2 linked regions of the Caenorhabditis elegans genome follow. The protein of the gene in region 1 interacts with the protein of each later gene in a pairwise test. Each region holds a gene or a part of one and is shown in the gene's direction. Other genes may lie near its edges.

Evidence for each region. Proteins that work in one complex are often made in the same cells at the same time.
Region 2: the proteins of pas-4 (region 1) and pal-1 interact in a two-hybrid assay, tested with the Caenorhabditis elegans proteins (one study listed by BioGRID).

What each region holds. Positions count from the first base shown.
Region 1 is NC_003279.8:8,726,665-8,730,000, reverse strand, and holds pas-4 (Proteasome subunit alpha type-7), read left to right. Parts: upstream 1-1,513; coding exon 1,514-1,612; intron 1,613-1,873; coding exon 1,874-2,125; intron 2,126-2,171; coding exon 2,172-2,468; intron 2,469-2,548; coding exon 2,549-2,662; 3' UTR 2,663-2,783; downstream 2,784-3,336. Other genes in the region: rpb-3 (DNA-directed RNA polymerase RpoA/D/Rpb3-type domain-containing protein), read right to left, coding at 37-164, 210-298, 348-595, 748-873, 921-1,055, 1,110-1,232. UniProt on the Caenorhabditis elegans protein: The proteasome is a multicatalytic proteinase complex which is characterized by its ability to cleave peptides with Arg, Phe, Tyr, Leu, and Glu adjacent to the leaving group at neutral or slightly basic pH.
Region 2 is NC_003281.10:4,804,180-4,810,475, reverse strand, and holds pal-1 (Homeobox protein pal-1), read left to right. Parts: upstream 1-1,766; 5' UTR 1,767-1,767; coding exon 1,768-1,898; intron 1,899-2,374; coding exon 2,375-2,450; intron 2,451-2,504; coding exon 2,505-2,792; intron 2,793-3,116; exon of another isoform or gene 3,117-3,265; intron 3,266-3,327; coding exon 3,328-3,430; intron 3,431-3,604; coding exon 3,605-3,776; intron 3,777-5,222; coding exon 5,223-5,265; 3' UTR 5,266-5,767; downstream 5,768-6,296. Other genes in the region: C38D4.7 (C2H2-type domain-containing protein), read left to right, coding at 1-62, 109-163, 208-354; rRNA N(6)-adenosine-methyltransferase metl-5, read right to left, coding at 5,790-5,903, 5,954-6,081, 6,132-6,238. UniProt on the Caenorhabditis elegans protein: Transcriptional activator. Interacts with promoter regions for tbx-8.9, tbx-9, elt-1, hnd-1, scrt-1, and vab-7 genes. Binds the sequence ATTTATGAC. Binds to the enhancer region of the hlh-1 gene promoter during embryonic body wall muscle development.

The sequences.
Region 1 (3,336 bases):
TAATAATAACGTAAATAAATTAGAGATCCAAATAGTTTACTGCTGCTGGGCATGAGCTTGAAGTTCATTTGAAAGAGCCATATTTAGTTCCTCCAGTTTTCTCTTCAAGATTCCGATTCCCATTGTCACGATTCGCTGTGCTGGAAGAGCACCAGTTCCTTCGACTGAAACATTTAAAATTATAAGCAAAATATCTGACCGTGACTTACTAGAGAACCAGAACTTGTTAGGCTTGTTGTCCGGCTCGAATGGTGCCTCCTTTTCAGTGCTGTCTTCTGGTAAAGATGAATGATCGCTTCTGCAAAAAAAATGTACGAAATTCACAAAATACTGATAATAGTTCTTACCTTGGCCATTCCTCAACATTCGGATAAATTGTATGTCGGAGAGCATTGTCTGGATCATATTCAAATGCAACTCCACAGGTGGGATTCCATTTTGCATGTTCCTTTCCGAAACCCTTTTTAACATAGGCTTTTAGGTTAAGCTCTTGTCCCTTACGCAATTTTACAATCAGAATCTCTTCTCTGTTGTGAAATTCGTCACGGGTCGATCCACGCTCACGTAGTGCTTTTCCACAAGCTGGTCGGACGGTCTGTAAAATTCCAATTCAAATATTTATCAAATGTAGTGAAGTACGGACCCTAATAAGATTGCTCATCGATTTTATTTAAACGTTATTAATATTATTATTGAAATTTAATTCACTCCATTAAAAAAAAATGAGTTGCATTTTTTTAAATTTACCGTGTCTAAATTATGCATTGGCATTAGATGCTCGGTAGTAACAGCCAAAGTAGCTTCATCTTTACATTTCATCTGCAGAATGAACGGTATCGAACACTCATCGCAGAACTCGGCACATTCACAATCCTAAAACCAACATTTAAAAAGTTGTGAAAGATTCAACCCTATCTTACTCTGGTGTATTGCATTTTTTCGACATGATAATCAGATATGAACGGAATCAAACCCATGCGATGTGCAATAAATTCGTCGTGGAGGACAGAAGTGTTAGTTTCAATTTGAACCCAATCAATAGCTATGGTTGGCACCTGAAATGTAATTAAAAATATAGAAAGAGTAATGGTAAACAGGAAACAACTCACTTCTGCCATGAAAACTCGTCTCAGTGAATTTGCGACACTCAAATCAGTGTCCCACAGTACAAACTTGATTATATCATTTGTCAGTTCGGTAACCTCGATGTTAGGTTGATTTGCGTACGGCATTACTAAAAATGATTATTATAAGGAAAAATGAAAAATCTAATTATTGAATTGAAAACATTTAAGTCGAACAGAAATTCAAAACAAAACGTCGCTAAACAACACGCACATTCGTTATTTCGGAGTGTCGTTTCAGGTTCTCGGTTGGTAAGCGAAGTACGGTAACACTCATTTCAACTGTGCGCTTTTGTCACTGCACAATTTCAAATAATCATTTTTTAATTATTTTTTCGTTTTAAAGTTAAAAATGGTTCAGAGTTATTTCAAATTTTAAAATTTTTCAGATGAACAGATACGATCGTGCTATCACTATCTTCTCCCCTGATGGACACTTGTTCCAAGTGGAATATGCCCAGGAAGCTGTCAAGAAGGGTTCGACTGCGGTGAGTGGTTCCCCTGATGAAAATCAGTTGGCAGAAAATTATATGAGTTGCACTTTCATATGAATATGATATCAGCTAGAATTGAAGCACCCGATTCAAGAAGATTTTAGATCTATTTATCGTTTTATATTTAAAAATAAATCAAAAAATTCAATGTAGATGATTGATATTATCTATCTAAAAATCTAAAATTTCCCGAATTATGGTTCAAAATAATACGGTTATTTTTAAAACCTCAAGTTATAATTATGAATGTTTCAGGTCGGTGTTCGCGGAAAGGATTGCATTGTTATCGGTGTTGAGAAGAAGTCAATTCCAGCTCTTCAAGATGACCGCACAATCCGTAAAATTCATATGATCGACGACCATGTGATGCTCGCTTTTGCTGGATTGTCCGCAGATGCTCGTGTTCTTGTTGATCGTGCTCGTATCGAGTGCCAGTCGTACAAGTTGACTCTTGAAGATCCAGTTACCGTTGCCTATATCTCCAGATATATTGCAAACACGAAGCAGGTATAAATATTTTATTTATGCAAGCATAACTTTTACTGATTTTCAGCGCTTCACACAATCTCCAGGACGTCGCCCATTCGGAATTTCAATGCTCATTGGAGGATTCGATCATGACGGAACTCCACGTCTTTTCAAAACCGAGCCATCTGGAGCTTACTACGAGTACGTTGCCAACGCGACTGGAAGAGGAGAGAAACCAGTGCGTGAATACCTTGAGGAGCAATACAGCGAGGAAAATACTGTCGACGAAGCTACCACTCTTAAATTGGTTGTAAAGTCGCTGGCTCAGGTCGTACCACCAGGATCACAAAATATCGAGATTGCAGTCATGAAAAAAGTTAATGTAAGTGATTTCCACCTGAGATTATTTTCAGTAATAACATTTTTTTAAATTGAAGATGGTCCTTAATTTTAATTTTTTAGGATGAGCTGCAGCAACGTGTATTGTCAACTGAAGAAATCGAGGCTCTCCTGAAGGTTGTTGAGACAGAACGTGTGGCTGCTGAGGCTGAAGAGGCTGCATCCAAGAAGAAGTAGATTCGAACTTTTGTCTTCTGTCCATTATCCGTGTGTATTGATTTCCCAGTTATCTGCTCCCCTTTTCAAAACCTAATTTATTTTATTCATCTTTATTGACGGGAATGAAAAAGTTTTCCCTAAAATCTTCGAAATTCCTTTAAAACCATGAAAAGAAAGAAGCTATATATTCGAAATGACAAGATAATTGTGGGGTTCATTTGAAAAAAAGAGAAAAATATATATAAAGAAAATTCCAATTCGGCGAGCAATGGTTTCTGAAACTTCTAGCTTTCTGAAATATGGTATCCTTAAATGAGATTTGTTTTATAAGTTAACCTACATTTTCGAATAGAACGCATAATCTCTGCAATAATAATCACAGTCATTTTTTTTCCTGAAGTTCATTTTTCATTCAAAATTCTTCGATGAACCGATTGAAGTGGCAGTGGTTATGCAAATTGTTCTATACATTTCCTCTCCCAAGCAGAGGACCTTTTCGGTGAAATTCCGAATAAAAGTGAGCGGTACAAAAAGAGGGAAAGGAGGCAAATTTGAATATATTTCATTTATAAGCCTTCAAAAGTCTCCTCCTAGACTTACAAGATGCCATTGCCCTACGGCTACTTTTTTTTTCAAATATTAGATCTATTAATTTTATTAGATCTATTAATAAGATCTAATTTTTATATAAT
Region 2 (6,296 bases), on another chromosome or scaffold:
GCAAAGGAGTTGAAAAAGATTCGAGATGAGGAAAACAGAAACCATGGACGATCTGCTGAAAGGTAATTCTAGTTGTGTTTTTTTTTTCAATTTAAATGAGAGTTTCAGAGATAATGTGTTCATCGGTGCAGTGCTGGTGGGGAAAGGATCTCAGTACGATAAGGTAAGCCTGAAAATTATAAAAAATTAGTTGAAGTTGTTTTTCAGGATCTTGAAAAATTCAAGAGCTTCCGATGCAGGACCTGCAATGAAGTTTCCCAGACGAAGGAGCAGCTCGTGGATCACTTTTCAAACAACCACGCCGGCGAACTTGGGGCGAGAAGGTCACTGCGAATAAAGCAGACCTCGTGTTAAATTTCTTTTTTAATTTATATTCGTTTTTGTTTTAAAATTTAAGCTTTTTTGATACAAATAAATTTTATAGTAAATAAATCTTGTTTCTCCTACCAGCTATCTAACTATTCCCAACAGTGGGTGGCAATAAATACGAGACGCGGCTCTTCTCACGGCGGTATCATAGATGCACAAAGAGCAAAACGATTACGCAACAGACAGCCGGGTCATATTCAGGTCAAACTTGATAGTGCATGAAATCGAGTAGTAAGCGACTCTTTGATATTTTCAGATGCTCCATTTGTTGTTCTTCATGACAGCTGCAGAGTTCCCAGATCGTAAATGTTTAATGTTCTGAAAGAAGGTACATAATCAGTCAAAGGGCGGTCTCATTGTTGCCTTTTATATCAAATCTTTGGAGGACAAATTGTCGATTTCAGCAACATTTTTTGTTAAGAATCTCCAACTTTTAGAATAACTATTTAATAGATCACTCGTTTCTGATAAGAGAAATAATTCTCTGCTACCGTAATCTTTGCTCCACATGAACCTGTCAGTCATAAATGCTCATTCGTATCGTACTCAATTAAACTTTCATCGCTCATTTATTTCCTAATGAACATCGTAATGGAACCTCAATTCCAGATGGGCTCAATGGCCGGTAGACTTACTATTATTTGGGCGAGTAGATCAAATATGAGGTGAGTGATCTATTTTTCAAATTATTTTAAAGGCGGGATCTCATTGAAATTAAATTTAGTGGCTAAAATTCTTCTTTTCTTAATTTTTGGCTAGATGATTTTTTCTAATCTTTTTCAAAATTTTATAATTTTTAAAATATTTATTTAAATAAAAAGATATTTAACAGCAAGTTAACTATTGAACAATAAATTAAATAAAAATCTTCGTAAATCGACAAGTGGAAAGTGCGCTCTATTGAGCTGATCAGTCAGTAAAAATTTTTCAGTGTTAATTTTTTTCTGTTCTTCATTTCTGTTGAGTTTTAACGTTTCTTTTATATTTGTCTTGCTAATTTCAATGCTAAAAATCAATTCTAAAAACGCATATTTTATTAAAGTAAGAAAATCCATCTTCGAATACAGTCTCGGACAGTTTCCTGCACAGACCAATAATTTATTTCCCAACGAACTGGGCGTTTTTGTTTCCTTGCCGACCTGTCTCATTGTAAAAGTGATATGTTTGTCTGAAAATCGACGTGTGGCTATAAATCATTCACAATTCCCTCTCCCGTTCATATCTGATAAATCCCGCCTTCCCAAGTGCTCAATGAGCCGCAGGAGGCGGTGCCGGGTTGCCAGCTCGTTATTTTATTGCTATTCTCATCAAATCTCGAAAATCTTCCTTCAAATTTTGAATTTTTATTACTGTTCACTTTTCTCTATATAAACTGATAATTACTTCCTCGTTTTCAGAATGTCGGTCGATGTCAAGTCGGATTTTTCGGAAAACGAGTCCTCATCAACACCTTCACCAACAACAGTTCCAGCAGATGTCACGTGGCCTCACTATCCAATGATGCCATTCATGCAACCACATCCTCTGAGGCTAGATCTTCGAAATTTTTATTTGGAATCTCAAAATCAACGAAAAATTAAATATTTCCTGTTGGTGTTTCATTACGACCAAGTGAACAAAATTAAATACCATAAATATTTAATAATCCAGCACACACACATGGTTGTAAATCCATGCCCTTTCTCTTATTTATCTCCTTCAAAATATTTGCTAACCATGTATTTATTCTCAAATATTGTCGCCTTTTTGATGATAGAATTTGTTTGAAAGGTTATATGCAAATTTTCGATCTATCCGGAGGGTACGGTAACGCCCCGCCTCCACAGTGTATTGGAAGACATTGCTCCGCCCATTTCCACCGTTGGAATGAAGCGGGAGGGTGTCTAAGAGGTAATAGGCGTGTGTGTGTGTATCAATTGACAAGAACATTTGATTAAGGAGGTGCTATATTTTGAAGTTTTTCTTGTTTTTTTTTTTCATTTTATACTTAATTTTCTTTTTTCAGAGAAAAGATGCTGCAACCAACATTTGATCCACAAATCTATGGAAGGTGGTCACAAATGGGTGATACTGGTTTTTACGTACGTTTTGAATGAATTTCCTTAAGGTTTTTTATTTAAAAATTGAATTTCCAGGGACATCCGGATCTCTATCCATTCGGCCTTCCACAACTCGCTGCCAACGGACAAATTCCAGCAGTAGAAGCCGTTGATGTGAAGCCACCGCTTTCGAATGGAAGTAGCAGTAGTGATAGTGGAATGTATCCATCACCGAGTGATATGATGACACCGTTCCCATCAACATCATCTGGAGCTGCATCTTCTTCAGAGCTTTCAGCAGCTGCTGCTGCTGCAGCCAACTACCAGATGAGAGCTGCCACGTGTTATCAGCAATCTGTTTGGCCGTTTATGGATTATCAACAGGTAATCATATAAAATTGTATTTTAATACCTTTGTTGGCTTTTATAACACCAAAAAACATAATTTCCTAGCGAGACTTTTCAAAAACTGTTCACATTTTTTATGACTCTAAATTGTTGGTACAGTTTTTATTGAATTTTATTTTTTATTGCATATTTTAGGTACGGCTACTCGCGTTTATTCATTGATTTAAGCAGTCTACTTCCAAAAATTACAAAAATTCAGTGCCTATCGGCTTAGAACGCGCCTAAATCAACGAATTAACACGAGATAAATTACCAAAATATGCAATGAAAAATGAAAACTTACTAAAAACTGTATTTCAGCTACTAGACAAGGATAAGTTGATAAAATTTTAGATTTCAGCATTTTTGGCTCTTTTCGATATTTTAAGCTGCCATAAAATTAGGAAATTCTGTCGTTTGTGGTAACTTGTCTAATAAATATCTCTAATAATGTCTAATAAGTCTAATAAAGCAGCCAATTTTTGATCTGTTAGTTCTCCTCCAAGTGAGCTTGTTTTAAAGATAATTTAAGTTTCAGGGATTCTCGTGGAAAATGCCTCTTGGAAACAATCATGGAAAGGATCGAAGATCAAGCAGTGATGGGAAAACATTACCAACGGGACCTGGAACGAATAGTAAGTTTTCAAAAGAGTCTCCCCGTGTGCAAACAATCTCTCTTCAAGTGAAAAAGAAGCCGCTATCAGTCATATTTATCAGTAACTAGGACAAATGAATTGAGTATTTATGATTCCTTTCCCATCAATTTCCCATTTTATTACGAGGGAGTTTGTAATTAAACTTATTTTCAGATGTCCGTGTACGAACAGCTGACAAATACCGTATGGTTTACTCGGATTATCAACGCCTTGAACTGGAAAAAGAATTCCATACATCGCCATTCATAACATCAGATCGCAAGTCCCAATTGTCGACGATGTTAAGCTTGACAGAACGACAAATCAAGATTTGGTTTCAAAATAGGTAGATTCTTTTTTAAACTCACTGCCTAAAATGGGATGATTGATTACTACAAATTTGAAGACACCAAAATAATATCAAGTTTTCTTGATTTGGCACAGAGATGAAAGGCGGTAAAGGTGATGCGGTGTATGAGTTACGGTGCTTACGCAATTCGACCCGTGTGGCAGGTAGCAGGAGAGTCTTTAGCCGTGAAAGAGTGTTAGAGTGACCTCAATTTATATGATGAGAGGTGGCAAATTGGGATTGTTATGGTGTGAGATGTCATATTAATAGATCTGAAAGTTTAATTTGGTTTATTGGAATCATGAGATTAGACTTCAAATATTGACACATATTTCACAACGTCATTTAATTAACAGATGATGTTGCCCTCTGCAAATCTCATTTGAATTCATTCATTCCGCGCCCTTTCGAGCCAAATACGTTGTTTGCTGTTTGCTGTTTGCTTACTCTTTCTCAGGCTTTTCCAGGGGACTCATCACAATGACTGTCACCTCCTACTGTAACCATAGGAAAAAGTACCACCACACTTTCGTTCTTTAAGATTCAGTTCAGTCCACGCGCGCAGTAGAGATAGTTCCAAGGAATTAAAGAGTCGTAAAGTTGTGTAATTGGAGGCCACAGTGTTTGAGACGTGCTGGTGGAGGTGAGGAAGAGATGAAGTTTGTTAATTGGTCCGTTTACGACTTTCTAATTGGTATTACTGTAGAAGAGAGGTGGTCACTGCTTGCATGTGTGGCTATCTACGCGTTCGGGGATTTGGAAATTAACAAGGGAATAGGATATCTAGTGCGAATTTCCAAGTTATTGGGATAAAACACTTCCCGTAAAGTGCTACTGTTAATCTCCTTCACTCGCATGTTAAAGGGAGAGTATCGTTTGTAGGTTTGCAAAAAAATATACTCAAAATGCCCCAAATTTCAAGTTTTTGCCTTTATTTAATTAGGTGAGGTTCTAGCTCAATGAAAGAGTCTACAGAAATGATAAAGCAAGGGTTTCTGACCAGCTCGCAGAGATATACCAATTATCTGCTCAACAGTCGTTTTTTTTGTTGTCTGTTGCCTTGTTTGACAATATTAGTGCGCATCGAAAGATTTACGAGGGGAATAGAAACGTCGTCGGCAGAGATTCCCAGAGTGCTGTAAAATGGAAATCAATGTGTGTGTCCCTTTCCTGTAGCGTCCCAATCCAAACAGACATACATACTGTGTTGGACAGACGTGACCGCCGTTTTCCTGGGAAGAGGTAACATACGGACGAACCATACCGGTCATTGTATTCATTAAAAGAAAGGGAATATAAACCAAAAGATTGATGTTCCCTATCCCTTTTCTTTGAAAAGCGTATTTTTTTTGAATTCACCACTGGGACGGCATCTTTTTGATCTCAATATATTCTGATAAATTGTTAATTTCCGTAATAATACTGTAATATTTTTAATTGCAGGCGTGCAAAGGATCGTCGTGACAAACAGAAGATTCGGCTATAAGTACTCATCTACTTACAAAGAAAATGTACAAAAATTCTGGGAATTTTCATATTTTTCTAGAATATTGTACACATTTATTATATTTTTACATTTCTCTCGCTTGAATACGGTTAAATTCACACTTTTATATAATTTCTTCCTGTCCCATCTCCCATTCTCTCACATCAGAATATTCTAATCATCACTGCCCTTAACATATATATATATATATTTATAACTTTCCGATCATTCCTTCTGCTTTGTAAACTAATCCAATCATTCTCTAATGAATTATTCCCTAATATAGAGCTTCTTTATTTATTGTGATTTCTTGTTTCTTACCCTTCTCAAGGTTTAGGAAAAAGTTTAGGTCCCCATTTGTTATGTATTTACTTCCCACTCTGAACGGATCCATTTTGAACATGTTTTCTATTTTTTGGAAAAGTTTAGAGAATTCTTTGCTTTTCTCACATATCTTGATTGCATATTTTTTATAACAAAACAATGAAACAATTTTGAAGAATTTACAGCAGAAATTGATGAGATTAACTATCCAGTTTTTTGAAATGTATTAAATCGACGGCAATATCCACGGCCTTTTGTTTATGGAATTTGTAAGTCGCTGGTAGTTGCCACCGCATTTCTGCACAACATTCTGCCTGAAACTCAATATTTTTTTTTCTAATTTTAGAATAATTTAAAAACAAACCCCAACTCCGTCCCATTTCTTTGCATTTTTTAGAATATAATCTCTAGTTGATGATTTATGAAGTGAAAATACACTTCCACCAGGCCGAACCATTTGAAGACCGATTTGGACAAATTGCATATCGATTCCTGAGAAATTTAAGATATTGTAACGTTTTAGGAGATCGTTGGATATTTACCTGCATTATTTTTTGTTCCAAATGGAGGATTAATGACAGCCACGTCGAATGTGCCACGTGGAAGATCGGATTCCGGGTCGAGAATGTCGGCTTGTAGAAGCTCGCATCTGGAAGAATTGAAAGTTTTTAATTTTTTATTATTACCCAAATACGATTTTTAGCCGA